Linked DNA regions of Oryctolagus cuniculus. The protein of the gene in region 1 interacts with the protein of each later gene in a pairwise test. Links are inferred from orthologs where the notes say so. Each region holds a gene or a part of one and is shown in the gene's direction. Other genes may lie near its edges.

What was found.
Region 2: the proteins of SPRY2 (region 1) and UBASH3A interact in binary tests that used the Homo sapiens proteins (3 or more experiments, as listed by UniProt). The two-hybrid records come from large-scale screens. The link is inferred for Oryctolagus cuniculus from reciprocal best matches to the Homo sapiens genes SPRY2 and UBASH3A.
Region 3: the proteins of SPRY2 (region 1) and HSD3B7 interact in binary tests that used the Homo sapiens proteins (3 or more experiments, as listed by UniProt). The two-hybrid records come from large-scale screens. The link is inferred for Oryctolagus cuniculus from reciprocal best matches to the Homo sapiens genes SPRY2 and HSD3B7.
Region 4: the proteins of SPRY2 (region 1) and ZDHHC17 interact in binary tests that used the Homo sapiens proteins (3 or more experiments, as listed by UniProt). The link is inferred for Oryctolagus cuniculus from reciprocal best matches to the Homo sapiens genes SPRY2 and ZDHHC17.
Region 5: the proteins of SPRY2 (region 1) and PRKAB2 interact in binary tests that used the Homo sapiens proteins (3 or more experiments, as listed by UniProt). The link is inferred for Oryctolagus cuniculus from reciprocal best matches to the Homo sapiens genes SPRY2 and PRKAB2.

The regions. Positions count from the first base shown.
Region 1 is NC_091440.1:31,925,058-31,930,763, forward strand, and holds the start of SPRY2 (protein sprouty homolog 2), read left to right. Parts: upstream 1-2,149; 5' UTR 2,150-2,827; intron 2,828-3,880; exon of another isoform or gene 3,881-4,567; intron 4,568-5,706.
Region 2 is NC_091435.1:3,136,942-3,142,023, reverse strand, and holds part of UBASH3A (ubiquitin-associated and SH3 domain-containing protein A), read left to right. Parts: intron 1-586; coding exon 587-686; intron 687-2,008; coding exon 2,009-2,131; intron 2,132-5,049; coding exon 5,050-5,082. UniProt on the Homo sapiens protein: Interferes with CBL-mediated down-regulation and degradation of receptor-type tyrosine kinases. Promotes accumulation of activated target receptors, such as T-cell receptors, EGFR and PDGFRB, on the cell surface.
Region 3 is NC_091450.1:6,168,209-6,173,990, reverse strand, and holds HSD3B7 (3 beta-hydroxysteroid dehydrogenase type 7), read left to right. Parts: upstream 1-2,087; 5' UTR 2,088-2,227; intron 2,228-2,387; 5' UTR 2,388-2,559; coding exon 2,560-2,725; intron 2,726-2,962; coding exon 2,963-3,118; intron 3,119-3,348; coding exon 3,349-3,457; intron 3,458-3,530; coding exon 3,531-3,630; intron 3,631-3,793; coding exon 3,794-3,956; intron 3,957-4,214; coding exon 4,215-4,633; 3' UTR 4,634-5,187; downstream 5,188-5,782. Other genes in the region: histone-lysine N-methyltransferase SETD1A, read left to right, coding at 549-686, 757-930. UniProt on the Homo sapiens protein: The 3-beta-HSD enzymatic system plays a crucial role in the biosynthesis of all classes of hormonal steroids. HSD VII is active against four 7-alpha-hydroxylated sterols. Does not metabolize several different C(19/21) steroids as substrates.
Region 4 is NC_091442.1:79,306,802-79,311,883, forward strand, and holds part of ZDHHC17 (palmitoyltransferase ZDHHC17), read left to right. Parts: exon of another isoform or gene 1-2,128; intron 2,129-2,995; coding exon 2,996-3,118; intron 3,119-5,082. UniProt on the Homo sapiens protein: Palmitoyltransferase that catalyzes the addition of palmitate onto various protein substrates and is involved in a variety of cellular processes.
Region 5 is NC_091438.1:50,110,916-50,116,791, forward strand, and holds the start of PRKAB2 (5'-AMP-activated protein kinase subunit beta-2), read left to right. Parts: upstream 1-2,239; 5' UTR 2,240-2,638; coding exon 2,639-2,794; intron 2,795-5,876. UniProt on the Homo sapiens protein: Non-catalytic subunit of AMP-activated protein kinase (AMPK), an energy sensor protein kinase that plays a key role in regulating cellular energy metabolism.

The DNA.
Region 1 (5,706 bases):
TGGAGATTGTTGGAGGGAGAAAAAGAGACCTAGATGACATGGGATTCCCTCTTGTTATGCACGACAAATACAAATTCCTAGTTTATTCCTTATTGACTCAATAAAAACTTAAGGTGTTCTATCCAGTCCGAATAAATTCAGTGTTAAGGCTTTGATCCGCAACTACTCTGCTTCTTCGCAAAGTTCCTGCAGCTCTGGGAGAACACATCAAGGGCAGAAACGCCTCCCAAGAAGCCGCTAGCGGGGTGCCGGGGTTTGCAGAGACGTAGAGGGCGCTTCTGCCACCTGCTCTGCTCCCCAGATCTGCTGGCCCGGCCACCGACTGCTCGTCCCACACAAGCCTTGCACAACCAGGCTCCCTTTCCCTAGGTTTCAGCTGCAGTTCTCGGAACCAAGACAACTCATCTCACACTGAAAACGGAGTGCATCCAAGGGAATCGCAGGGAAAGCCACCGTGAGCGGCGTTTACAGGATAAATACCTTTTTTTTTTTTTTATTCCTTTTAAACCAGCAGGTCTAATGCGCATTTCGGAAGGCAACCCCGCCAGCGGACAACTTCTGGGGAAAAAAAAGAGCCTGGCCCGGCACCGGGCGAGCGCCCCCTGGTGGCCGGACGAGCCACACGCGCAGAGGCGCCACTCTTCCCCGCAGACTGGATAGACTCGGACAAGTGGCGAGCGGCCCGGGCCAGAGGCCCGGCTGTCGCACCCCCGCGGCCCCAAGGACGCCGCGTCGCGGGCAGACATAACCTCGTCCGACCTTCCCAGAGCAGTTGGGGGACGTAGGCGCCTGCCCTTGCCCATCTCTGGTTCCAAATCCCAGGGGAGGAAGGAAGGGAGCCCTAGAGAAACATGGAGAAGGCAGGGAGAGCGCCAGGGACATTCTGCAGCAGGAACCCGGGGTCGCGTGGAGGAACGAAGCGCCATGGTGGACCCCCGTGTGGGGCAGAGCTGTGCAGGTGCTGCTCGGGACCTGCGACCTAGCAGGCAACTGCTTCCCCGCCTTTAAGTCCTCAGAATGCGCGGTTAGAGGTGTGCGTGCGCGCATTTCGATCCGCCACCGGGGCTCCCACGTGCAGGCACGTTTCTGAGCAAATGCACGTGCATATGTATAGGACTTTCTACTGAATGCCTTCAGCACGGGCCGTGGGGGCTTCCGGAGAAGGGTGGGAAGGGACAGATGACTGCTGACCGGGCCGCGGAGAGACCCGCGCCGGGAGCGCCCTCCCCCCACCCCCATCTCGGAAGCCCACGACAGCGCCCCGAGATCGCCGAGCTGACTTTGAAGAGCAAGGCTGCAGCCTCTCCCTCGGCTGCTGCGTCCGGCGACGCAGAGAGCTCTCCCTGCAGCCACCGTCTGTCTCCCTTAAAACACGAAAATTCTAATAAACTCCCAGTCGCCACAATCCAGCCTGAGCAGGAGGTACTTGAAACCCGAATCTGCATTCCGCTCCTCTCGTACAAGGCTCGGAGGTGGGGGAGGCGCGGCTGGGGCCGGTGCCTGGTGTATAATCGGGTTAATCCGGGAGACAAAGAATAAACCAATAGCCCTCCCACCGCACTTCCCGCTCCCCTTCCCCCACCCCCACCGTGTAGAGGGGGAGCAGCCGAGGGGCGAGCAGACTCGAAATGGATTCCGGATGAAGTCTTAAAAACCTGCAACTTGTTTTTCATTGCTAACGCGGCACGGCCCCGATCAGTCTCTCTGGCGGCGAGAGAAAGTTCCATAAATCAGTCCGAGCCTCCGGCTCATCCTCCTGGCCTCGGGGGGTGTCAGGGGTGGGGGTTGGGGGGGGCCTTAAGGTCAGTGTTTCCTTGAAGCTGGATAAACCGACCCCGTCGCGCGCAGCCGGGCTCCGCGGGCGCCCCGCGGGACGGCAGGAGCGGCCCGGGGACGCGCGGGGCGGCGCGGTTGCCCTTTTGAATGCCTCCTGCGGCTCGGCGCGCTGGCGGGCGCTGGAGTGTGAGTGAATGTAGCCCCGCGGAGCCAATGAGCTGGGACCGGATGCGATATATCCTCTGGGACAACAACTGCTCTGTTCCGCCTCGGATCCACATGACGCCATTTACTGCTGCCGCGGCCGCCGCAGAACTCCCTGCCTCCTCCGGAAAGGCGAGGGCGCAGGCCAACAGCGAGCCCCCCCGGCCGGGCCCCAGACCCCCCTCCTCCTCCGCCTCCTCCTCCTCCGCCTCCCCCTCCTCCTCCTCCTCTTCCTCCTCCTCCTCGGCACCCACCGCCCCCGCCTCGGCCTCGCTGCCGAGCCTCCACAACGCCCAGTCTGCACCGCCCAGAGCTGCGCGCCGCAGCGCGAGCGGAGGAGAGGGGCCGGCGGAGCGCGCAGCGCCCAGGCCCCCGCGCCCGCCCGGCCCGGCTCGCGGCCGCCCGCGCCTCCGTGCCACCGCTGCGCCGACGCGGCCGGGGCCGCACGCCTTGGCGATCTGGCTTCTAGGGTCTTTCTGTAAGGCCACTTTATTTTCTCATTCGCTCATCTGCCAAGAACGGGGACTCGCTGTTGGCGCTTCGGCCTCTTGTTCATTGAGAAAAAAAAAAAAAAAAAAGGAAATACTCCGCGTGCGCTTCTGCAAGGGGGCTCGCCTCCAGCCCTGAAACCCGGAGTTGTTCATCGGCGAGGGACTTGGCTCCGAATTTTTCGCTCGTATTTTTCTGTTTTGTTTTGTTTCCTCCCGCCGATTGCTCGAAAGTTGGACTGAAGCAAAGTTTGGAAAAAAAGGGGGGAAAAAAAGTTTGCATCGGGGCTGGATTTATTTGCACATCGCAGAAAGAAGAGACTCCAAGGGAGAGGGGTTGGTGCAAAGCCGCGATCACGGTGAGGCGCGTTTCGCTCTTCCTCTGCTGGCGCCGTGGCTGGCGCGGTGTGGGCAACATGGAGTAGGTGCAGTTGGACCGGGAGTGGGGTCTGCCTCTCCCCCGAGCCTCGCTTTCTCAAACCCCGCAGGTTGCCGGCGAGCTGCCGGCAGATTTCCCTGGCCGAGGACCTGGGCTCGGCCTGCCTGGGAGGGGGCTGCAGTGTGCGCCCCGAGCGATGTCCCCCAGCCGGCGACCCTGCGCTCCCGCGCGCTGTGGGCTTGGGTCGGAGGACGGCTCTCCCCTGGTCTGTTCCCAGCCCTGCGTCGACCGCGAATTCGGCGCTGAGAGCGGGAGACGGAGGGAAAGCACTTTGTGCTTCTCTGGCCGCCGTTGCGGGCGCTAGCATTTCTAACCTGTTCCTCCCTCCTTGCGAGGCAAAGTTTTCTGGGGGAGCCTGTCCCGGGGCGGGGGCGCCGGTGGGGCCGGGGTGCGTGGGGTGCTCGCCCCACGCGGGCAGTAGGCCCCGCGGGTGGAAAAGGGGCGAGGGTGCGTGGTGCAGGCAGCCCCCGCCGCTGCCCTCTGTGGACAGTCTGGCCCACTGAGGGTGGGAGCGTCGCCCAGCCTGGCGCCGAGGCTCTGCGGTTCGGAAGTGCAGCTTTCTCCTTTTTCCGTTCCCCGTGATCGGCCTGGGTCACGCTTTTTTTGGGGGGGGGGGGGTGGAGGGGAGAGCTTGGGTTGACCTAGTACATTAGGAAAGTCATCGAGTGTGTGCGATCGTTTTGCATGACCTGAAAGTAGGTGGCAGATGAGGCTCGTTTGTAAGTTCTCCGGTTTATGTTGTAGTCGCTGTCGTTTAATTTGGGATCTTGTGCACTTTTTTTTTTTACAAAGCGGTTTCTGTGTCGGTTTGCCCCACCCTAAGTGCTGAAGTCCTTTCCCCCCCTAATCCTCAGTCTGATCACACACTGTTCTTAATGGGGTTTTCAAAGCACTTCGAGAGGGAGGGGGGACCGGGGAGACGGGGAGAGAGCCGAGGGGGAAAGGGGGGGCTGCAAGGAGGAGGCCGGGGATCGGCAGAAATCACTTTTTTTTTTCCGCTTCCCAAAGATGCTACTTTACACTGTATGCAAATCTACCTCTAAAGTTTCCAACCCAGGGACTGGATCCTGCACGCCTGGCGTAGGCTCTGGGCCCTGGGGGAGGGGGACGGGTTATTTTTTTTTTTTTTTTTAATTAAACTTTAAGAAACAGATCATTCCTGTTTCCCTTCCCCTCGACCCAGGAGACCGGCGTGCGCGCTACAAGCCATGCCCGCTTCAGTCGGTGCGGCGTGCAGTGGCCGCGTGCGCGTGGGTCAGACTCCCCGGGCTCCATTGGAAACCTGAGCTCCACGTTCGCGGACCCCTGCAGACGCGTCGTGGGCTGCGTGACCTCTGCCTGCTGGTGCGCGGCTCCCTCTTGGGGCTGGCAGGCGGTTCTCGGGAGCTGGGGAGGGGCAGGCGGGGGAAGTGTGCTCGTGCGTTTCATGACACGTCCCCTTCCGAGGCGCCCGCGCCCCCCGCCGGTCGGTGCGTCTCGGCCCCGGCGCGGCGGGGCTGGGGGCCCCCTGGCCCCTGGACAGCGTCAGTCAGCCTGGAGAAAAGTCCCCCGGGCTCCGGCTGTGTCCCACCTGCCGGGGACGGTGTCTGGGCGCAGATAGAGCCGATAGACCGAGGGGAAGCCGAGCGCCGCGTTGTCCTGTGTGCTTGTCCTGCTAGAGGTGAGGAGATCCGGTTTCCAGGCGCTGCCTGGTCGCGAGCTGGGAGGCGATTGTCACCTGCCTCGCTCACCGCGGCGCTGCCTTTTGTAAAAAGCGGAGGTTGGGGAAACATGCACTTTTGCCCGTTTTGACTTTTTAATGTTCGTGTAGTGTTGGGAACGGGGATGGTAGTTTTGAGACTTAAAAGGGGCTGCGAGCCACGGGTTTGCTGGACAGAATGCTGGGTTTGAGATGTGGCGCTTGGGTTTTTAAAACACGTTTCCTGTACTAACGGTGGGTTTATGCTCTCGACTGTTAACTTTCCGAGAGGAGAAAAGTTAAGATTTTGACACATTTTATGCCTAAAACGGGGAGAACAGCCTTTAGCTGCAGACCCTGAGGTGTTCCGGGCTATCAGGCTGTAAAATGAGCCCCAGGTTGCTGAGAACTTGAGAATAAGTCCCTGTCTTTCTTGTTCCTCGTTGTGTACCTCTGCTGTGATCTGTTCCTGGCACCTAACAGCGTTTGATTTGATTTGTTTTTAGTTCTGTAGCTTGCCCTTCTAGGTAGTTAATAAAAATGGCACATTGTTGTTAAATTTGTGACTGTTCTTGGGACGTTTGCTTTTTTTGCATGTCATCTTCATCCTGCAGGACTGAAAAGGTCACAGAATATTGGCTAAATCATACTGCACGTGTCTGATGTAAAAACAGCTTTGAAGTAAAAACCAAGAGGGAATTTTCTCTGCTGCATTTATTGATGTTTAAGGCAAAAAAAAAAAAATAGCCATGACAAATTTAAGCCTATTTCAGAATTTGAAAAGGCATTCAGCTTTTGCAAATGTTGGTAGCAATGTTATAATCCAATGTTACTTTCTTGCAATTTTTACATTGAACCTGAACCTTGCAAATTGTGTGTTTATTTGAATAAGGGATTGTTACTTAAGTGATTCAAACAAAGGTCAGCTTTGTGTCAGCGCATTTCACAGGATTACAGAATTGTCAGTACCCAGCCATAATTCTTGCTTTTTGTTTTGTGCATTAGTCTTATGGCTGTTACAATACCTCCCCACCACAACTCCTTTTCAAACCCTGTTTCTCTAGAACAGGTGAGAAGTTGTGGGTGGAGAGTCTTCCAAGTGTAAACCATTGTCTTTCCTC
Region 2 (5,082 bases), on another chromosome or scaffold:
GGTCTCCGACGCTGCAGGAGCACGGAGCACTGTCGGGGCCCCCAGGCTGCAGGGGTCCGGCTTGCCTTGTGCGGCTCGCTGCACAGGGCCGGGCGGGGGCTGGCGGGAGCAGCCTCTGGTGTGGCCCCAGGAACTCCTGCAAAGCGGGCGGCCTGTGCCCCCAGCCCCTGCCACTTCCCAAGGAACAGAGACACCTGCTGGAGGAAGTGGCCAATGGCACAAGGCCTTGGGCAGGTGCAGGGGCACACGTGCTGGCTCCTGCGATGCCCTCCCCACCCTGTCCATCCTGGCTCCCAGCAGCCCCCACTGACCTCCCGTGGAGGACTCCGACTACTGTGCCCCCACCCTCCCCGTGACACAGCGTCCCTTGCTTGTCCCTTCGCCCCAGGGAGGTCTGCACCAGCCTAGGGACCACGGCAGGCACTGCAGCTCCGTGTCCCAGTGCCTAACACAGCCCCTCTCGGTGTCACCGGGGCCTGGTGGCCGGAACCCTGAATCGAGGGCCTGCGCTGAGGCTGGGGTGGGGCGGACTCACCATGCCACCCCTGGACGCTGAGCGGCTCGGGCCTCGCTTCCCTCCCCGCAGGCCGCCCTGGCGAGGAGACGCGTGCTGGTGGTGCGCCACGGGGAGCGAGTGGACCAGGTCTTCGGGAAGTCATGGCTGCAGCAGTGTTGCACCCCGGACGGTAGGTGGCGTCCAGGCGAAGCTCCAGACAGCAGTGCCCCGGCCTTTTAACACCAGAGATCCCCTCTGTGGTGCCCGACCCCGGGGCCCATCGTCTGTGACGACGATGACCACAGTGCCACGTGGGGTGCAGGCTGGGGTGCACCTGCACGTGCAGGACGTCTGTGCAGTGGGTGCAGGGAGCCAGCGAGTGCACGTGGAGCCACGACACCTTAGCAACCACAGCGGTGCCGCCCCTGAACCCCCCAGCTGCCACACGGCCCCCGGCCCCTGTCGCCTCTCTGGGTCTCTCCCAGCTAATCCTGACTGCCACTGCCACGATCCCACGACACCTGCTATGCAGCTTGACAGGCACACAGGGCTCTTGTTCTCAGCTCTGCGCTCCCAGCTGCCTGGGACTGAGGACCGTGCGGTGGACACAAGGTGGACCCTGTACGGGTGACCCATGCCCCTGGCAATGCTCACTCCAAAGGAGAGCCCTGAGTTACGCCACCAAGCCGCGGCTGACTGCATAAATTAAGGGATCGCCCCAGAGAGACAGAGTCCGTTCACAAGGGCGGGACTGGCCCAGAGGAGGGGCCGTGGGTGAACCAGGGGGTGCTCTGAGCTGTCACCAAGGGCTCGCAGGGCCCAGAACATGGCTGCCCCTAGGAAGTAAGGCCTAAGGGAGACAGAACCAGACAGCAGGGGGCAGTGACACTCACACACAGGGAGCCGGCTCAGCTGCCCTGTGCTGCAGAAGCCGACGCCTGGGCCACCTGGTGGCTGTGAGCCAAGCAGAGCGGGCTGGCGGCACCATCTGGTGAACAGAGCAGCCCACCTCCCGCTGTCCCTGAGCTCAGCACCAGGCTCTGGGCACTAGCTCCCTGGCCCTCCACGTCCTCACTTTTCCGAGGAGAGAGGTTAGGTCACCTGCTTCTAGACAGCACGCAGAGCAGCTAGGGCTGGGGTCTGCCGGCCCGAGGTCCAGCACAGGTGCCCCACGCAGCCTCCGGGCACCCCCAGGCTGAGCAGCCGTGGCTCTGGGCAGCCCCGGGGGCGGGGTCCAGCTTCACCCGATTAACTGAGGTCGACTTGAGATGACTGTCCAGGTAAGCCACGTCCATCACAGACACTCACAGGAAAAGTGGGGGCACCTCTGCAGAAGCCAGGGAGCACCGAGGGGCCGGAGCTCTGTCCCGGGACAGAACCCACGTCTGAGCACCCAGCCCCCGGGAAGCGACGCGGTGACCTTGCTCGCCACGGGGGTGCGGCCTGGGGTGCTGTGGGGCAAGTCCGCCCTGCGCGAGGACCCGGGGCCGCTGACACTCCTCTGTGCCCTAGGGAGGTACCACCGGCCCGACCTGAACTTTCCCGGCAGCCTGCCCCGGCGCAGCAGCGGCCTCAAGGCCTTCGAGAACGACCCGCCGCTGTCCTCCTGCGGGGTCTTCCAGGCCAGAATGGCAGGTAGGGGGTAACGGCCCTAGCAACTGGGCCCAGCTGCACGGAGGGAGCCCCTGCCGCCTGCCCTGGGCGTCAGTGTCAGCGTCAGCCTCACTCCCAGTCTAGGAGGAGGAGGAAGCCTGGCGGGGAGGGCCAGGTCTCACGCACAGTCACCGAGCGGGGAGGAGCGTGTCCCACCCAGCACCGGGCGGTGTGGGGAGCCGGGAGGAACGGAGGACGGGCAAGCGAGGGAGGAAAAATCAACCCCACCGGGTGCTGAGGAGGTGGCTCAGGTTAACAGCCCCGTCCCTCGCCGGCGTTGTTTCGAATTCTGTCACGCTGGGCCCTGCTTTCTGGCTGGGGTTCTGCTGTGTTCCACTCCGCTGTTGGCTCAGAGAGACCCCCGAGTGCGTCTGGACTTCGTTGTGTGGATTCGGAAACTCGAATCACAGAGGCCAGTGGGCATCCCTGGCCACACAGCTGCTCCCTGCAGGGAGCCCAGGGGCCGGCTGTCCTGCTGTCCACCCAGGGCCCGGCTGTCCTGCTGTCCACCCAGGGCCCGGCTGTCCTGCTGCCCACCCAGGGCCCAGCTGTCCTGCTGTCCACCCAGGGCCCGGCTGTCCTGCTGCCCACCCAGGGCCCAGCTGTCCTGCTGCCACCCAGGGCCCGGCTGTCCTGCTGCCCACCCAGGGCCGGCTGTCCTGCTGTCCACCCAGGGCCCAGCTGTCCTGCTGCCACCCAGGGCCCGGCTGTCCTGCTGCCCACCCAGGGCCGGCTGTCCTGCTGCCCACCCAGGGCCCAGCTGTCCTGCTGTCCACCCAGGGCCCGGCTGTCCTGCTGTCCACTCAGGGCCGGCTGTCCTGCTGCCCACCCAGGGCCCAGCTGTCCTGCTGCCACCCAGGGCCCGGCTGTCCTGCTGCCCACCCAGGGCCAGCTGGCCTGCTGCCCACCCAGGGCCTGGCCGGCCAGGTTGCCCTGCTCGCTGGCCCCAGTGTGGAGCGTTGGTTGATCTCCGAGTGAGAGTGCCGTCCTCACACCACGGCTGATCTCAGCTCCCAGGGAGAGGGCCCCGGACGCAGTCGGAAAGAGAAGGCATCAGCTGCCCGGGGCGGTGTGAGCTGTGGGCTCCGTGTGTGTGTGTGTGCACAGCAGTGTGGGCTCCGTGTGTGTGTGTGTGTGCACAGCAGTGTGGGCTCCATGGGGGGGGCTCCGTGTGTGTGTGTGTGTGTGTGTAGGTTCCGTGTGTGTGTGTGTGTGTGCACAGCAGTGTGGGCTCCGTGTGTGGGGGGCTCCGTGTGTGTGTGTGTGTGTAGGTTCCGTGTGTGTGTGTGTGTGTGTGTGTAGGTTCCGTGTGTGTGTATGTGCACAGCAGTGTGGGCTGACTCCCCACAGCTCTGTGTGTGTGTGTGTGCACAGCAGTGTGGGCTGACTCCCCACAGCCCTGTGTGCTCCGTGTGTGTGTATGTGTGTGTGTGCATGCGCACACAGCAGAGCAGCTGAGGGCCTTCCCAGGACCCAGAGCCGCCCTGTCACTCAGCTTTGCAGCCCCGAGCCTCACCCCTGACTCCCAGCCGGCTGCATGCCCCCAGCTCGTGTGTGTGTGTGTGTGTGTGTGTGTGTACGCTCCGTGTGTGTGTGTGTGAGCACCCACGCGTGGGCGTCTGTGTGGGCCCTTCCTGGCTGGCCTCTGCCCTCACTTGCTCAGGCTCCTGCAATATGGAGCCCACACTGGGTGGCTTAAACAGTGGACAAGCCTAGCCCCGCAGGGCTGGGGCCCCAAAGTCCAGGCGGCTGGGCCCCCGGGGCTGTGTGTCCCAGGCGTCTCTTGCTGGCTTGCGGGCAGCATCTTCTCCTCGTGTCCTGTGGGTGTCGCTGTGTCCACCCGTCACACGGGCTTAGACCTCCCTCCCTGTGACTTGGTGACGGCGTCCCTGGTGCCCAGGGCAGCCTGCAGAAGCCGGAGTCCCTGAGTGAAGTGACACAGGGGCCACAGAACCCACACACAGCCTCCCGACCCTTCAAGTCTTCTAGACCACTTGTGGTGCCGCACACAACACGAGCGCTGGGTGCGAAACTGTCACACGATACTATCCAGGGAGTAACCACAGGAGGAAACGGTACAGGCTTAGCACAGGTGCAGTCTTTTCCCAGATCTTTGGACCTGTGATTGGTTGAATACCGCGGCTGTGACCTCACAGCTGGGCCGGGTGCAGCCGCCCTCTAGAACCCCATTTCCCAAAAAGTGGCAGTCGGAGATGCCAGGGGCTAGGACCCAGGGAGACACAGCTCCACCCGTCACGGCCCCCACACCTCGCCTGTAGCTTGTGTGCCCCAGGACTCCCCGCTTCCCAGAGGGCGGGGCTCTGAGGCACAGGGGCAGCCTTGGGCTTCCTGATGCTGCAGAACAAGTGGCCGCGGCCCTACGGCCCCAGCTCTGCAGACCAGAAGCGCAGGCTCAGGGCACTGAGTCCCAGGGTTCCAGGGCCCTGAACCAGGAGTCAGCTGAGCTGAGGTCTCATCCCGAGCCGGGGCTCCTTCCAGACCCACGCAGGCTCCTGGCAGGATTCAGCCCTGTGGCTGTGGGCCTGGGCCTGCCTGGTGCTGGCTCTCAGCTCCTGAGGCCGCCACACTCCTCGGGCACCCAGGGCACTCCCCCGGGAAGCCGACAGCCGTCTTCAGAGCTCTCCGGCTTTCTCCGGGCCCACTTGGAGGGAATCTGTGCGTCTGGGGTGCTCCTGGCTTGGGCAGTCCCCCAGGATCAGCTCCCGCTGCCGCTTAGTGTACGGTCATCACGGGCTCCGCCTACACCCCAGGGAGGCAGGTGGGGTGCACAGACCACAGGGTGGGATCAGGCCGTCTCAGCACCGTTCCTGCCGCAGGGGGTGAGTCTCCCACTGCAGGCTGGAACTCCGAAGGGCCGTCTCCCACCTGCTCTCTCCCAGGGGACGCACTGCAGGCCAGCGGCATCCGAATCG
Region 3 (5,782 bases), on another chromosome or scaffold:
GGAGGTGTCCTCGCCACTTGGCTGGCGGGAGAAGCCTGGAAGGGAGTGAGATCACCCGAGGAGAGCGGGGAGGGCTCGCCAGCCCGGCCCCGGGAACTAGAGCACGCCTTCCCGCCAGCGGGTGGGCCCTCACACAGCCCACCTGCTTTTTGCATTGGCCGGTGGTGGCCAGCAGGTGCCCGCTGTGGAGAGAGGGTCCTAGGAGCTGAGAGGAGGGGTGGTCCGTGAAGTGGCTGCTGGCATTTCCGGAGCTGCCCCAGCCCCCTGCAGCCGGGGTGCCACTGTGACCAGGCAGGTGCTCGGAGGAGCCAGCGGCTCCCCTGCCCGGGGCACAGAGCAGGTTTCCCTAGCGGGATGGCAGCCAGAGGGCGAGGATGGAGGGCTCCCGGAAGCCAAGGCAAGTCGCCGCCTCGGGGCTGTGGGAGCGGGAGGCGGCGCTGCGGCCCCCGGCCCGGCCGGTGTGGAGCCCGGGGCGGTAGCTGGTGGACGACCCCTGGAGGGGCCGGCAGGAGGCTGAGGCGCAGGCGCCTGACCCCGTCCCGTCGCAGATGGTGGCCGACATGCGGGAGAAGCGCTACGTGCAGGAGGGCATCGGCAGCAGCTACCTGTTCCGCGTGGACCACGACACCATCATCGACGCCACCAAGTGCGGCAACCTGGCGCGCTTCATCAACCACTGCTGCACGGTGCGCGGGGAGCCGGGCCGCGGGGGGCGGGCGGGGCGCCGGGCCGCGGCTCACTCTGCCCGTCCCGCAGCCCAACTGCTACGCCAAGGTGATCACCATCGAGGCGCAGAAGAAGATCGTCATCTACTCGAAGCAGCCCATCGGCGTGGATGAGGAGATCACCTACGACTACAAGTTCCCGCTGGAGGACACCAAGATCCCGTGTCTGTGCGGCACCGACAGCTGCCGGGGCTCCCTCAACTGAGGTGGGCCAGGCCTGTGCCCACACCCCTATTTATAAGCCCTGGTGCCCTGAGCTCCCGCACCCCCAGCCTTAGCGGGCCCGGCAGGGCCCACGTGCCCCCTTCTCCCGAGTGCGGGGCTCGGGGGGCCCTGGGCCCAGCGAGGGAGCCTCAGTCCCCGAGGCAGCTCTGCCTCCCCCGTCCCCCCAAGCTCCCCTCCTCGTCCCCCCCCCCCCATTTTGTTTCTTTGCGGAGAAGAAGCTGTAAATGTTTCGTAGCTGCCAGCAGCTGTTTCCTGTGGAAACCTGGGGTGCCGGCCTGTACAGATCCTGTTCTTGGGGGGCTGCCCAGCCCTCCTGCTTTGTGTTCATGGGGACTTCCCCTCATGCCCTGCGCGCACCCCTCCCCGGTTTAGGGGTCTCTGGGGCAGTGGCCATGTTCTCCCCCTGGGGGCCCTGCGCCCCCAGTCCTGGGGACTCCGTGCCTGGAACCCTGCCTCATCTTCTGTTCCTGCCAGCCCCTGCGGGCCATGCCCCCCACACCCCGCCGTCCTGGAGGCTCCCGCCGAGCCTGGCCAGGACGGTGGGGGAGGTGGGTGGGCCCTTCGTGCTGGGCTGGACTGTATATATGTTAATAGCGCAAACCCAACGCCACATTTTTATAATTGTGATTAAACTTTATTGTAAAAAAGTGCTTGGTCAGTATCTTTGGGGAAGAGTAGGGTGGGCTGGGGTGGAGGACAGAGGGTGGGGCCGGATGAGAGGCCAAGCGGGGGTGGGGGAGCTCTTGGCTCAGGCAAGGGGGCAGACCTGCAGAGCCAGCTGCAGGACCACCTCACCAGCTGCCACCCTGTGCCAGGAATCCCCCGCCAGGGCCAGCCAGAGCGGGGCCAAGGTCAGGCCTCCCTTTCCTTCCCAGAAGCACAGCTGCTGCTAGGCCTCTGGCCTCCTGGGAAATCCAGCAGGCGGGGAAGGCTGAGGTCAGGCCCTGGGAATGAGGTCACCCTGCTGGCGCCATCCCGAGGTCCCCAAAGCCCTCAGCGCCCATCCAGCAGGTCCCGGCCCCTCCATCCCTTCTCCCCAAGTTCTCTGCAGGATCCAAACGCCAGCGGAGCGCCGAGCGGCCACCAGGGGGTGCCCTGTGGCAAGTGTGCAGGGTGGGAGGTGGAGGGGGTGGAGGCTGAGCTGCTCTCCGTTCCTGGAATGGGCCAGGAGGGAGGAGGAGGAGGAGGAGGAGGAGCAAGCGGAAGGAAGACGGTATGAGGTTGGCCGGCCAGCTCCTTTGGTGGCCAGTTTGGGCTCCCCGGGACAGTGGCCGCAGGTAGGTGGGGGGTGGGTGAAGGGGGGCAGCCCAAGGCCCCAGCAGCCCGGCCCCTCCCACCTTCCATACCCTTCCCTGCCCGTCTCCCCACTCTCCTGATCTTGTCCCCCAAACCTCTTTCCCCAACCCCCCTCAAACCCTGGCCCCCCACCCCTCTCAGCACCTCTGCAGCTGGCAGGCTCCGAGGACAGGTGACCCGGCTGCCGCGCCCACAGCCGAACGGCATCTGAGAGCAGGTCTGCCCCTCCGCCCGCCCACCCACTTGCCCTCCAGCCCGCAGGGCCAGCAGGCCCCGAGCAGGTCGCAGCAGGCAGCACAAGTGAGCCGGGGTCATGGAAGAGTCTGCCCAGGCCCAGAAGCTGGTGTACCTGGTCACAGGTGGCTGTGGCTTCCTGGGGGGACACGTGGTACGAATGCTGTTGGAGCGGGAGCCGCGGCTCCGTGAGCTGCGGGTCTTTGACCGACACCTGAGCCCCTGGCTGGAGGAGCTGAAGACAGGTGATTGGGGCGACGGGGGGGGGGGGGGGGGTGTGTGTGTGTGGAGGGATAGACTCCCCAGGGAGGCTCCTCCCTCCTTGGTGGAAAACATGAGCCCTGTTTATATTCTGTAGCCCACATGGATGGGACGAGTGAGTCACATAGGGAACGTGTGGCTTCCAAGGGTGTAGGCTGAAGCCAGCGGCAGCCAGTGGCCCCCGCCCTCATTGGCCCTCTGGCCTCCCCGGTTCCCACCAGGGCCTGTGCAGGTGACTGCCATCCAGGGGGATGTGACCCAGGCCCACGAGGTAGCAGCCGCTGTCGCCGGAGCCCATGTGGTCATCCACACAGCTGGGCTGGTGGACGTGTTTGGGAGAGCCAGTCCCCAGGCCATCCATGAGGTCAACGTGCAGGGTACGGCGGCCTGATCCTGTCTGTTTGTTCACCTCCCTCACTCTGACCTTGACCTGGGATTCTGCTGGGGCAACCTGTGACCAATGCTCCATGGGTGACTGCTCACTACTCCTGTCCCAGCTTCATGGGACCTGTTGTGGGTCGTGCCCCCCACCCCCGGTCCTGGGATGGGAAGGGAAAGCTGCTGAGAGGGAAGAAGCCCCAACTTGGATTACCCCCCCCTCCCCCAGGCACGCAGAATGTGATCGAAGCTTGTGTGCAGGCTGGGACTCAGTTCCTGGTCTATACGAGCAGCATGGAGGTCGTGGGTCCTAACGCCAAAGGCCACCCCTTCTACAGGTGAGCTGAGGTCCCCGAACCTCCCGGAAGTCCATCTCCCCCTCGGCATTGAGTCTTCCCTCTCCCCTCACAGGGGCAACGAGGACACCCCATATGAGGCCGTGCACAAGCACCCCTACCCGTGCAGCAAGGCCCTCGCCGAGCGACTGGTCTTGGAGGCCAATGGCAGGAAGGTGGGACTCGGGGAGTGAGATGCGGCGATGGGGCCTGGCCCATCGCCAGGGCAGGGCCTGGCCTGGGACCCACGTCCCTGCTATCACCAGCCCGAGGAGGCCCAGGGGCAGAGGGCAAGCCACTGGTTCCGTGTCCTTAGCAGAGTCTGCCTTGTGCCGCCAGGTCCGTGGAGGGCTGCCCCTGGTGACGTGTGCCCTGCGTCCCACGGGCATCTACGGTGAAGGCCACCAGATCATGAGAGACTTCTACCGCCAGGGCTCGCGCCTGGGGGGCCGGCTGTTCCGGGCCATCCCAGCGTCTGTGGAGCATGGCCGGGTCTACGTGGGTGAGGAGTGGGCTGGGCTGGGGAGGCCAAGATCAGGCGGTGGGGACGCTGGGCTTACCCCGGCTAGCAAGGATGGTGTGCACGCAAGCGTGTGTCCTAGCTTTAGCCTCTCGACCAGGCTGCAGGGGCCGGGTGGGGTCGGGCGGGGCATGGCGAGCCCCAATAGGGAGTGGCTCATGCATGGGCTGGCCCAGGAATGCACCTGCCTGGGTGCTGGGGCGCTCAGGGCCACGCGTTCCCCCCTCACCACCACCACAGGCAACGTGGCCTGGATGCACGTGCTGGTGGCCCGGGAGCTGCAGCAGCGGGCGGTGCTCCTGGGCGGCCAGGTGTACTTCTGCTATGACAAGTCACCCTACAAGAGCTACGAAGACTTCAACATGGAGTTCCTGGGCCCCTGCGGACTGCGGCTGGTGGGCTCCCGCCCGCTGCTGCCCTACTGGCTGCTGGTCTTCCTGGCTGCCCTCAACGCCCTGCTGCAGTGGCTGCTGCGGCCGTTGCTGCTCTACGCACCCCTGCTGAACCCCTACACGCTGGCCGTGGCCAACACCACCTTCACCGTCAGCACCGACAAGGCGCGGCGCCACTTTGGCTACGAGCCCCTGTTCTCCTGGGAGGACAGCCGGACCCGCACCATTCTTTGGGTGCAGGCCACGGGGGAGGGCTCTGCCCACTGACGTCGGGCCTGGGGGTCTGGAGGCCCTCCCGGTACAGCCACAGAGGCCTGGAAGGGATGGGACCATGGATGGCCAGGCGGCTCTGGCGCTAAGTCCGTGGCTTTGTTCTGAGACTCCCACGCTCTAAGGCAGGGTGTGGGGACAGGCGTGTCTTCATTCTCAACCTCTAGGCCAACTGGCGAGGGGCCGAGTCCCCGGTGTCCTCCACTTCCATCTCTGGCTTCCCAAGCAGGAGGCCACGGAACCGCCCCAGGCCTTGTGCTGGTGCAGGTGCTGGTATTCCCAGATGCGGGTGATCGCAACCTGCAGGCCCAGGGTCACAGAGTGAAGCGGCCTCTCTGTCTCTCCTCCCACCTGTCCCTCCTGGGGCAGTTGGAGTTGCAAGATTTTCAAACATGTGTCACCTGTATGCAGCCATCATTTAATTCCCGTCAGCACAGGCTGAAGACTTGAGTGTATTTTTCAACTTCTCTCTTTCCACCCAGACTCACAGGGCCTGCTGTAGCCCAGGAAAGCTGTCCCTGCCCGAGCCCTGAATTAAAACCCTTCTCCGAGCCTGCGTCATGGAGTCTGTCTAGCTCCCCAGCCCGCTCTGCGTCTGCCCCTCCGCACGGCGACTGTCCCCCCGCCCCCCACCAGCCCCCCTCCACCGCAGGGACAGAAGCAGTGAGCACACGGCACACCCGCTGTTGGATTGGTTGCTATTTCTCCCGTCCCACAGGGCCCGACCCGGCCCGGGGGGTTGGGGGTGGGGACGCTCTGCGGACAGGACATGCAGGGCCGGGGGTGGGGACAGAAGTTGTCTCTGTTTGATCCATTTGCAACTTGGTCACCAATAGAGAGAAATGGGACTCAGGGCTAACAGGAGAGGGTGGCCTGGCTCTGGGCCCCCCAGCCAGGCCCCAGGAGTCCTGTCCCCCTCTGGGGAGGGGAGGGAGAGCGCTCTAGAAACCAATGGAGAAACGGAGAAGGGGGGGCAAGGGCTCATGTCAGCAAACACGGCTACGTCACGTGACACGCCAGCGACACAGAAACACACGCCAACGCACACGGCTGCACAGCGGGCAGGGAGGAGGGGGCAGGGCCGGGAGGGGGGAGCCCATCTTGTCCTCTGCGGGGCGGGCGGGGGAGGGCAGGGTGAATGCATAG
Region 4 (5,082 bases), on another chromosome or scaffold:
ACAGAGAGAAAGGTCTTCCTTTGCCATTGGTTCACCCTCCAATGGCCGCCGCGGCGGGTGCGCTGCGGCCGGCGCACCGCGCTGATCCGATGGCAGGAGCCAGGTACTTATCCTGGTCTCCCATGGGGTGCAGGGCCCAAGCACTTGGGCCATCCTCCACTGCACTCCCTGGCCACAGCAGAGAGCTGTCCTGGAAGAAGGGCAACTGGGACAGAACCTGGCGCCCCGACCAGGACAAGAACCCGATTTGCCGGCGCCGCAAGGCGGAGGATTAGCCTAGTGAGCCACGGCGCCAGCCAAGACATTGTTTTTATACTTTGCTTTAAGTTCTTTAGATATGATTTCCTTTAGCTCTTTAGTATTTTTCATAGCAAGGTTCTCTGGGTTCTTGAGAACATTTGAGTATTGTAATTTGAGTTCTGGAAAAGTTAATTCTGCAAATTTTTGCCAGTTTTTCATTGCTTTTGCAGAGTGACAAACTTTTCAGAGGTTTTTAGTCCTCTAATGTAATCTTTCATTCTTCAGTGTTTTGTACAAAGTTCACTTGTTCCAATAGCATTTAGTAAACAAATTGCCCTGTTCTACTTTATTTCAAGGAACATTCATAGTGAAAGTTTATAATTATGCTTTATTAATTACATATGGAAGTAACCAAAAATTTGAAGCCTTTTTCTTTCAATCATGTTTCTTGTAATATAATGGGTAGCATGATACCAGTGTTAATAATTATTTTGCAGATACTTACACATTAAGTAACTTTGTATTTTTCTCTTACTTCTTATGCCAGGTATCATAAATGCATGTCAGATTTTATGGGACTTCATGAATAGTTGTTCCTATTTAGTTTATTTTTGTTTTTTTTTGATAGCCTGTTTTCTCTGACATTATATATTTGGACAGTTAAGTACCTCATATCCTGGATTCACATCCTATCACCAGTTCTGCACACCTGTCTATCATGTGGTTCTTTTTCTTACTCCCAGAGTCCACTTTTTCTTTTGCTCCTTTTGCTAACTTCTTTATCTTGTTGTTAATCTCTCCCACCCTAATTCATTATTTCTCATCAAAAAGTGTATTCTAGCATCTTCCATCTTCTAACATCTTGCATCTTCTTTATCATTCACATACCATTCTAGTTATCCTATGTGTTAATCCATTAATTTCTGGTTTTTTAAAAAATTAAATTATGAAACATTTTAATCCTATAGCTGAAGCCAGTAGCCTGCAGCGCCAGGTGGGTGTAAGGGGCCCAAGTATTTGGGCCATCCTTCACTGCTTTCCCAAGTATATTAGTAGGGAGCTGGAGCTGAAGACGAACAGCTGGGGCTAGAATCAGTGTTCATACATGATTCTGGTGTTGTAGGCAGTGGCTTAACTTGCTATACCCCAATTCCAAACCCTTCATACTCACTTTTAGGTGTGTAGAAAATAACCTTTGATTCTCTGTATTGTTAAAAAAAGATTTGCAGAATCATTACTATCTTATTTGAATTGTCAGGAAGATTCTGGGTTGGTTTGTTTATCATTTCCTTTAAGGCAGAGAGATACAGAGAGATCTTTCCTCCACTGATTGTCTCTCCAAATGCCTGCAACAGCAAGAGCCTGGAACTCTACCTGGGTCTCCCATGTGAGTGTCAGGACCTGTGTACTTGAGCCATATCCTACTGCTAGGAAGCTGGAATCAGAAGTTGAACTGGGACTCAAACTTAGGCACTGTGATGTGGGATGCAGATATCGCAAATGCTGTCTGAATTACTGTAGCAAACACTTGCCCCAAGATTCTGTTTTTTAAAGGTATGGTTAGTTCACATAACTGGATACATGTAAACAATTTTCTGAACAAGGCAAACAAATAGAGGTACCATTGTCATCTCCTGTGATTTGTGAAACTCCTGCTTTTCCCTTAGATTGGTTATCCCGTGTGTGTATGTGTGTGCTCACAGATGCAAAACAGAACCAAGAAAAGTATAGCAGAATGAAATGTTAGTAATGGGGTAGCTGTTTGTTGCAGTGGCTTAAATGTTTATTGGGATGCCCTCATCCCATATCAGAGTGCCAGCAGGTGGAGGATCCTCTCTGCCTCTTTATCTTTGAAATAAAATGAAAATAAATAAAAATTAAAAGAAAATATTGGTGAATATTAAATATTAAATGTTAGTAAAATGAATTTCTCTGTTAAATAAGATATGAATATAGGTAGAAGTTCTAATGTTTGCTTTCAGTGTGATGTGCCACCCCCATTTTAGAGGCTACTTTGAATAAATTAGAAATATCACCAAATTTATTTAAATTTGCTTTTGTGTCGTTTCCAAAGACTCAGTATTTTGCCTTGGATAAAGTTGATGGTGGTTGTGGCTCAGTGATAGATCATGTTTTATTGTACTATTCTTTCTACTTCAGTTTATGTTTAAAAATTTCCATAATTATTAAGAAGTCAAAAAAATAGATGCCACCACATCTTTCCTCTCGTTTCATTGGCTTGTGCTAGGTCAGAAGATTTTTCTTTTCACCCCACTTTGTACCCTACCTCACCCTTTTCTGTTTGCCTTCAGAAAGTATTAATTCCAATGCTAAATTTGACAAAAGTGAATCCTGGAACTTGTGAAAAAAATTCTTTCTTCATGATTTTCTTCTAAATTATTATATGCTCCTTTCTGCTGATTTTTATATATTTAATATTTTAGCATAGTTATTTTTATAATCTCACAGTGGTTTGTGATGCAAATGGTGACATAAAGAAAAATTAGCAGCTCTTTGAATATTATTGTTGATATACTTTTGCACCTAATGAGATTTTACAGTCTTGTAAATGAAGCATTTTAAAAGTAAAATGGATTAGTGAAAGCTTTTAGAATACTGATAAAATCACTTTTATGTTGAAAAAATGTTTTAATTTTCATGTATTAATGTAGCATTAATTTCTTTGGAAAATATTATTTTCAGCTTTAAATTTATTAAGTGGTAATAACAATGCTTTATTTTCTTTCTTTTCAAGATACGGAATATATGAACGTTGTCGAGAATTGGTGGAAGCAGGCTATGATGTACGGCAACCAGACAAAGAAAATGTTACACTCCTCCATTGGGCTGCCATCAATAACAGAATAGATTTAGTCAAGTATGTGTTTCCTGTATATTTAATGAGTAGTTGTTTTTTTATTATAAATTATTAAATATTTATCATAAAAATAATTTCTAAAAAGTCATGGCTTTTAAAATATTAGATTTTACGTACCTTTTTTCCTGATGAAAATTGCTTTTAATATGTATTGATTGCTTTTCTGAGCCATGTATTGTAATGAATACTTTTATTTCCTTTAATCTTAATTCTTGAAGTAATCCTGTGTAAAATACAGCAGGTACCCTGTCCTACTGATATGGAAACTAAAGTCAAAGAGGTTAATTTGAGTTGGAATTTTTAAGAAAATATATTTCTATTTTTATTTTTTTTAAAGATTTATTCATTTATTTGAAAGTCAGAGTTACACAGAGAGAGGAGAGACAGAGAGAGAGAGAGAGTCTTCCATCTGATGGTTCATTTCCTAATTGGCTGCAATGGCCAGAGCTGTGCTGAAGCTGTGCTGATTCGAAGCCAGGAGCTTCTTCCAGGTCTCTCACATGGGTGCAGGGGTCCAAGGACTTGGGCCATCTTCTGCTTTCCCAGGCCACAGCAGAGAGCCGGAGTGGAAGTGGAGCAGCTGGGTCTTGAACCGGCACCTATATGGGATGCCGGTGCTTCAGGCCAGGGCGTTAACCTGCTGTGTGTCACAGCGCTGGCCCCAAGAAAGTATATTTCATTCAAAACTAACTTCTCTTTAGTTCTAGTATAACCATTCACAAACCATTTTCAGCATTATATAATGTCTTCCAGGGTATCTTAGGAACCAATTTATGAATAGTTAAATAGTTGTGCTCTTTATAATTTGATATTCTGGAAATACTTTGTTAAGTTACTTTGAACTATTCTGCATAATAAGTGGAGTTGGCCGTTTATTGTATAATGTTTTAAAAGTACTGCTGTAACAAGTATTTGTATGAAGCACAAAACTTCTGAATTAAGCATGAGTGTATTCAGCGTTTAAAATGATGTACACTAGAAATAGTAATCTAAATCATTAATCCTTACTTAAAACAGCTTCAGAGCTTAAGTGATCAACATATGCCAAGTATTTGACATCAAATGCCTTTTTAAAAAATGATTTATTTATTTATTTGAAAGCTAATGTAACAGAGGAGATAGTCCATCCACCGGTTCACATTCTAAATGATTGCAACAGCCAGGTCTGGGCCAGGCCAAAACCAGGAGCCAGAAACTCCATCTTGGTGTTCCATTTGGGTAGCAGGGGTCTGAGTACTTGGGCAAGTTTCCTATTAGCAGGAATCTGGGATCAGAAGCAAAGAAGCTGGGATTCAAACCAGCTCTCTGATACGGGAGGCCAGTGTTGCAAGCTGCAGCTTAACCTACTGAGCCAGAACAGCAGCTCTGTTAATCAAATGCCTTAAAATAGTTTATGCTCAAGAATTAATGCATTGACTAGTCCCAGAGAAAGTATTGTATTAAACAGCTAGATCTCATTTATTTCAGAGGATATCAAGCTATTATGATGTTATTAAGCAATATGATAGCTATGTCTTTTTAAAGTATCATAACTTTAAAAGTATAACAAGGCTTAATGAAGAATCTTTATGTTATAATTTAAAGTTTATAAAATATTTCATTGTTTGATTTGACCTATAGAAAAGTAATGTTTAAAAAGCTGAAGTTACTCAAGGTAGACAATATCTTGCCTAATTTATAGCTGTTCTAATTTGAAGACTGTATGCTACTATTTTAAATCTTTATGGTTCTTTGACTACCTTTTTTATTTATGTCATTTCTGTTCTTTATGTCATTTCTGTCATTTTCTTCTGTTCTTTGTCATTTTTGTCATTGTTCTTTATGTCATTTCTTTTTGTTGCTTTTAAAGCTATTTTCATTTTACTTTTTGAACAAAATAGTTGTATTTTGATACTAAACCATCAAAATATTTTTTTCTTCAAAGGCACAAACTAACATGAGATTAAAATGGAAAACTTTGTATT
Region 5 (5,876 bases), on another chromosome or scaffold:
AAGGAAAAAGAACTATAAGAAGAAGAACATGCCTTTTTCTTTTAAGGAAACTTAACAGAAGTACAATATAATATTTCCACTTAGATCTCATTGGAAGAACATAGTCAATATATCTACCTACCAGAGAAGCTAAGAAATGCATCTTTTTTTTTCCCAAGAAGCAATGGGTCTAGGTAAAAATCAAAGTACTATTATTAAGGAGGAAGAGAGGATGAATATTAAAGTAGAACTCCAGCATTCTTTGCCAATGGCTTTTCTTTTTATTTTTTAAGTTTTTTTATTTATTTTATTTGAGAGGTAGAGTTACAGACAGTAAGAGGGGGAGACAGAGAGAGAGGTCTTCTTTTTGTTGGCTCACTCCCCAAAAGTCCACAACAGCTGGAGCTGTGCCGATCCGGAGCCAGGAGCCAGGAGCCTCCTCCCAGTCTCCTATGTGGGTGCAGGGGCCCAAGGACCCAGGGCATCCTCTACTGCTTTCCCAGGCCACAGCAGAGAGCTGGGTTGGAAGAGGAGCAGCCAGGGCTAGAACCAGCACCCATATGGGATGCCGGCGCCACAGGCTGAGGTTTAGCCTACTGAGCCAGGGCGCTGGCCCCTCCAATGGCTTTTCGACTTGGTTTGGATATGATTTGTCCTTGCCAAAATTCACGTTCAAATTTAGTTGCAATGTAGAGCTTTAAGGAGTGATTAGTATCTGTCTCATGAGATTGGTCTAGTTCTTGCAGCCTGTGTTAGTTCTCAGGAGTGGGCTGTTAGAAAGCTGGTTGAGGGGCCAGCGTTGTGGCATAGTGGGTAAAGCTGCGGCCTGTGATGCTGGCATCCCTTATGGGTGTTAGTTTGTGTCCCAGCTGCTTCCATTTGGGCACTGGATGGAGTCCGGGCTGCCCCACTTCCAATCCAGCTCCCTGCTAATGGACTGGGAAAAGCAGCAGAAGATGGCCCAAGTGCTTGGGTCCCTAGCACTCATGTGAGAGAACTGTATGAAGCTCCTAGCTCCTGGGAGTGAACCAGTGGATGGAAGATCTCTGTCTCTCCCTCTCTTAACTGTGACTTTTAAATAAATAAATAAATAAATAAATAAATAAAAAGATTTTGGAGGGGTGAGCAAGAGACTGCAGTAAAATGGTACTTTTTTCTCTGTAAATTGTCTGTGGTTAAGAGCCAGAGAATGAGTTTACAAGGGGGCAAAGCAAACCTCTCTCTACAGATAGAGCCCCTCACTCATAAAGATGGGTGGGGTGCCTTTGGGTCCCCAATCACTGGCCATTTTCAAGCCTAAGTCGCATATCTTGTTAGAAACGTGTAACGGTATGCATGTCCCCTTCACTCTGCCAATGCTTGGTAAAAAGCTTTGTACGAGGTGCATGCAGAATACAGACAGAAATCACACGTGGTTCCGCTGTAGGCCAGCTGTCAAAGCACCCTCCTCACAGTCCCAGGTGGTCTTGTTAAAGGGCGGAGCCTGATTCCCTATGTGGGAATGGGGCCCGGGAGTCCGCATGTCGAACAAGCTCCCTGGTGATGCCGGGGCCGCTGGCGGACACGAGTATCCCAGGCTGACAGAGCTTTGCAGTAGGGAACGAGACACGGATGAGATAATAATACACAGCAAGGATCCGCAAAGGCCCCGAACCTCCATTCATGATCACAAAAACGGGGTCCCTCCCAACCCGAGGGCTGTCTGTGCCCTTATTATACCTTCCGCGTTCCTTCTGATGGGTTTTGCTGCTGCTCTGTCTCCGGAGTGTTATTTCTTCCAGGGGTGCCCACCGCACAGGTTCATTCCGCTAACATTTCACTAATCCTCACGGGCTAGCGGCCGATCACTCCATCTTGAGCTCTTCCCGGGGACCCCAGTCGGGCTGACTTCTCTCCCCCGGTACCCAGTGTTCGCGTCCAGGGACAACCACTCCTTCCTTCTGCTCGGGGCCGAGGTCCGTTCTCATTCCCTGTAGGAAGCCACCTCTCCGGGTCGCCCAGGGCCATGACGCCGCGCACACCACGCCTGTGGGGCGCCTGAGGCGGGGTGAGGACGCCCGGGGAGCGGCCGCCGCGGGTCCTCCCGGCAGCCTGTTCCCACGGAGCCCACGCCCCGGCGGTTCCGGACGCCGCCTCCCTCCCGCCCTTGTGCCCCCGCGCGGCCCGGCGCTGGCTGCGGCGCGCGGCTCACCATCGAGGCGGCGGCTAGAGAGGCGGGCGGGCCGCAGGGAACGCGCACGGGGCGGGCCCCCCGCGCCGCTGGCCTTGTAGCCATTTTAGGAGGAAACCAGGGGCGCTAGCTCGGGGCGCGGCTTCAATTTCAATAACTTTATTGGTGGCGTCACCCGCGGGACGGCCATCGCGCCGGTGGCCTGGACAAGAAGGAGCGCATCGCCGGAGGTGGTGACGGGCGTGGGCGCCCTGGGGCAGGCGGCGCGGGCTGCGGGGGAGGTCCCCATAGCGGTTCCCTGAGCCGGGGCCGCGCCGAGGCCCGGGAGTTGCGGGGGTTCCCGCAGGCCGGGAGGGAGGGGATTCCCTCGCCCGGGTCCGCGGGCGCAGGGGCGGGGCCGGGGGCGCCGGTGACGGACGCGGCGTCTGGGGTGTTCCCCGCCCGGTGTGGTGCCCCCGCGGCAGGTGGCCCCCGACTGGAGCCGCGGTCATGGGAAACACCACCAGCGACCGGGTGTCCGGGGAGCGCCACGGCGCCAAGGCTGCGCGCGCCGAGGGTGCCGGCGGCCATGGCCCGAGCAAGGAGCACAAGATCATGGTGGGGAGCACGGACGACCCCAGCGTCTTCAGCCTGCCTGATTCCAAGGTAAGCGGCCTCACGCCCCAAGACGTCGGCGGTGCTGCAGCCGGCTTGGTTTCGGGCTCCTCCCTTGCTGGGTTCCTTCTCATGACACTGAACTGGGTGATGGGTTTTTGAATTAAAAGGGATTTTCCGAGTCGAAGGTGTTGGATGGTAATTCCTCTTACGGTGCTGCTTCAAAATAGGGCGAGGCGGCGGAATTCTCTGACTAGTCTCTCCGCCACGTTTTAAAGGATGGGGACAATAGACAGCCGCCGTTTCGGGTACCCTCTTGGAGTGTTGATGAATTTGCAGATTGTAAACTGGGTGGGGAAACTTCGCAGGGGAGGTGGCAGTTTTTCACATTGGCCCTGAGGGTGGCTCAGTGAATTTCATTTTCCTGAAAATGTCTGTGTATCAGTGTCATCTTTGCCTTTCTAGGAGCTCTGCACTTGAAATTCTCTTCCCCTTTGGTACGGCCGTGAGCCGCGACTCCTTGCCTTCTTGACTACTTTGTCCTAGGCTTGGGATCAGTAGGACGTCATTTGGTTGACTGCTTTTGCTTGGTCCAGCACTGGTGTGGTGGCCGACACCCAGCTGCTTGCTGGGAGGGCAAATGATTCCCAGTCCCCTCTCCTCTCCAGGAGAACTTGAGAGTGTTGCCCGTGGCTGAAAACACCCACCCCCAGCTGCCCCTCTGAAGCGCCTGCTCTCAGTTCCTAGGACTTCTGGGAAGACCAACTTGCGTTCACACTACAGAATGGACAGATGGCGCTGACAGCCATATGATTCCAGAGCAGTGTCTAATCACTCTTAGAACTGTCGGCATGAAATGCATTTAATTTCTCCAGTTGGGCTGAGTAGGGTGAAATAGAACAATGGAGAGACAAAGATGGCAGGGTCTGATGTTTTTATCACTTCATCACTTTCGTCCAACTAGGGCCTCTGGGCAGAAAGAGATCCTTATTTGCCACATTGCTAGTACAGGAAATTTGCATGCTGTGGTTTCTTTATCTTCTGGAATCCCCATTGAGAACAGAATCACAGACAGAAAAGAGAGTGATTGAAAGGAGTTGTTTTGGGATTTCTTTTCTGGTGCTTTTTTTCCCTTTCAACTTGAGAATTTCTTCCCCATCATTTGGGCTGTCTCCGCAGCCACCTGAATTTACTTGTTCAGAATTTTCCCAACGTGATCTGCCTCCTGTGTTTTTACCCTTTTTTGATGTTAATGACTCAGGATTTAAGAACAGTGTGGTTGTGAAACTGTGACTGCAGCATTTGATGGCCTCAATAAAAGCTAGGTTGTTGTGTCTGAATTGGGGCCTATTTTGGATCATTTTTTCCCCCACATTGCAGTCTTGCCATTTGTGATATTTAAAAATTGGCTTATGTAATTCCTAAGGTTTCATCCAACTCAAAAATTTTGTAGTACTCCATCTACTCTCTCCTTTCCTCAACATGTTTCTCACCTATTTCCAAACTATGGCTCTAGCTGTTGTTTTGCCCCTTTTCCTGTTGGTTTTGCCGACTATTTAACTTGGAGCAAATATTCTTGCTGCCAGTCGGCTGCATCCGTTCCTACCACAGAAATGTTGTGTCATAAGTGGGAGGGCTTTCCTCCGAAGCTAGGCATATTAATAGTCCATAGCTTTCAGATTCTGCACTGAAGATCTGTCATAAAAGTAACTGACGGAAACAGTGGTGGGAGGCCCAGAGGGCTCCAGGTGCCTGCCTCCATCACCAGACTGGTTGGGTGGTTCTTAATCCTGGTTGCACATAAGAATAACCTGAGATTTGTTTCAGTTATGGTGACTCTGAAACCTTTACCAAGTAGCAAGAACAGTATAATGAACTCTGTGTACCTGTCAGCCATTTTAAACAATGACCAAGTCATGAATGAACATGTGTCATCTAAGTCCCAATCCACTGTATCCTCACCAAAGTATTTTGAAGCACATTGTAGACATTGTATCGAGTATTGTATCATAACATTTTATAATGTGCTAAAGGTGATTTTTTCGCTTTTAGTAGAAAGTCACACTGTTATTATCAGGGAAGATTTTTAGAAGTAGATTACCAGCTCCTGTATCTGCCTCAGAGCCTGAGAGTTATTGTTAGGTCTGTTAAAAAAAAATCCTGTGAGTCTGATGCAGCCAGTCAGGCAGGAAGGCATTGCTTTGAGAACATGAGGACCGGGGTTTTCTCTTAAGCCTGAATTATGCTATTACTGGGGTCTCATACTTAGTTTTGAGGAATATCAAAAGGCGCTGTGGGGTCAGCAGTTTGGGGCAGCATTTTAGAATGCCACTTAGGGTGCCCATATCATATTGGAGTGTCTGTGTTGAAGTCCCTCTGTTCCCTGCTAATATGCACTGTGGGTAGCAGCAGGTGATGGCTCAAGTACTTGGGTCCCTGCCAGCTGTGCGGATTTTCTCTACCTATGTGGACTGGGATTGAGTTTCTGGCCCACCCCATCAGTCTGAGTCATCCCTGGCTGTTGTGAGCATTTAGGGAGTGAACCAGCAGATTGGAGATCTTTCTGTCTGCCTTTCAAATAAAATAATAGTAAATAAATAAATAAATAAGTTCTGAAAAAGGCAGTATATGGAAGGTAGATTACCTCAACCATTTTGAAACAAATGCCCAAATGAATAAGCTAGTCTTTTTTTTTTTTTTTTTTTTTTTTTTTAAGATTTATTTATTTATTTGAAGGGCAGAGTTACAGAGAGGCAGAGAGAGTGGGAGAGGTCTTCCATCTGCTTATTCACTCCCCAGATGGCCACAATGGCTGAAGCTGTGCTGATCCAAAGCCAGGAGCCGGGAGCTTCTTCCGGGTCTCCTACATGGGTGCAGGGCCCCAAGGACCTGGGACATCTCCCACTGCTTTCCCAGGCCATAGCAGAGAGTGGATCAGAAGTGGAGCAGCCAGGACTCAAACTGGCACCCATATGGGAATGCTGGCACTGCAGGCGGTGGCTTTACCTGGTACCCCACAGTGCTGGCCCCAATGAGCTAGTCTTGTTTATTTTAAACCCATACTACTTTTTTAAAAGACATTATTTATTTTAAAGGTAGAGTTAGAAAAGAGAGAGCGAGAGGGATCATCCGT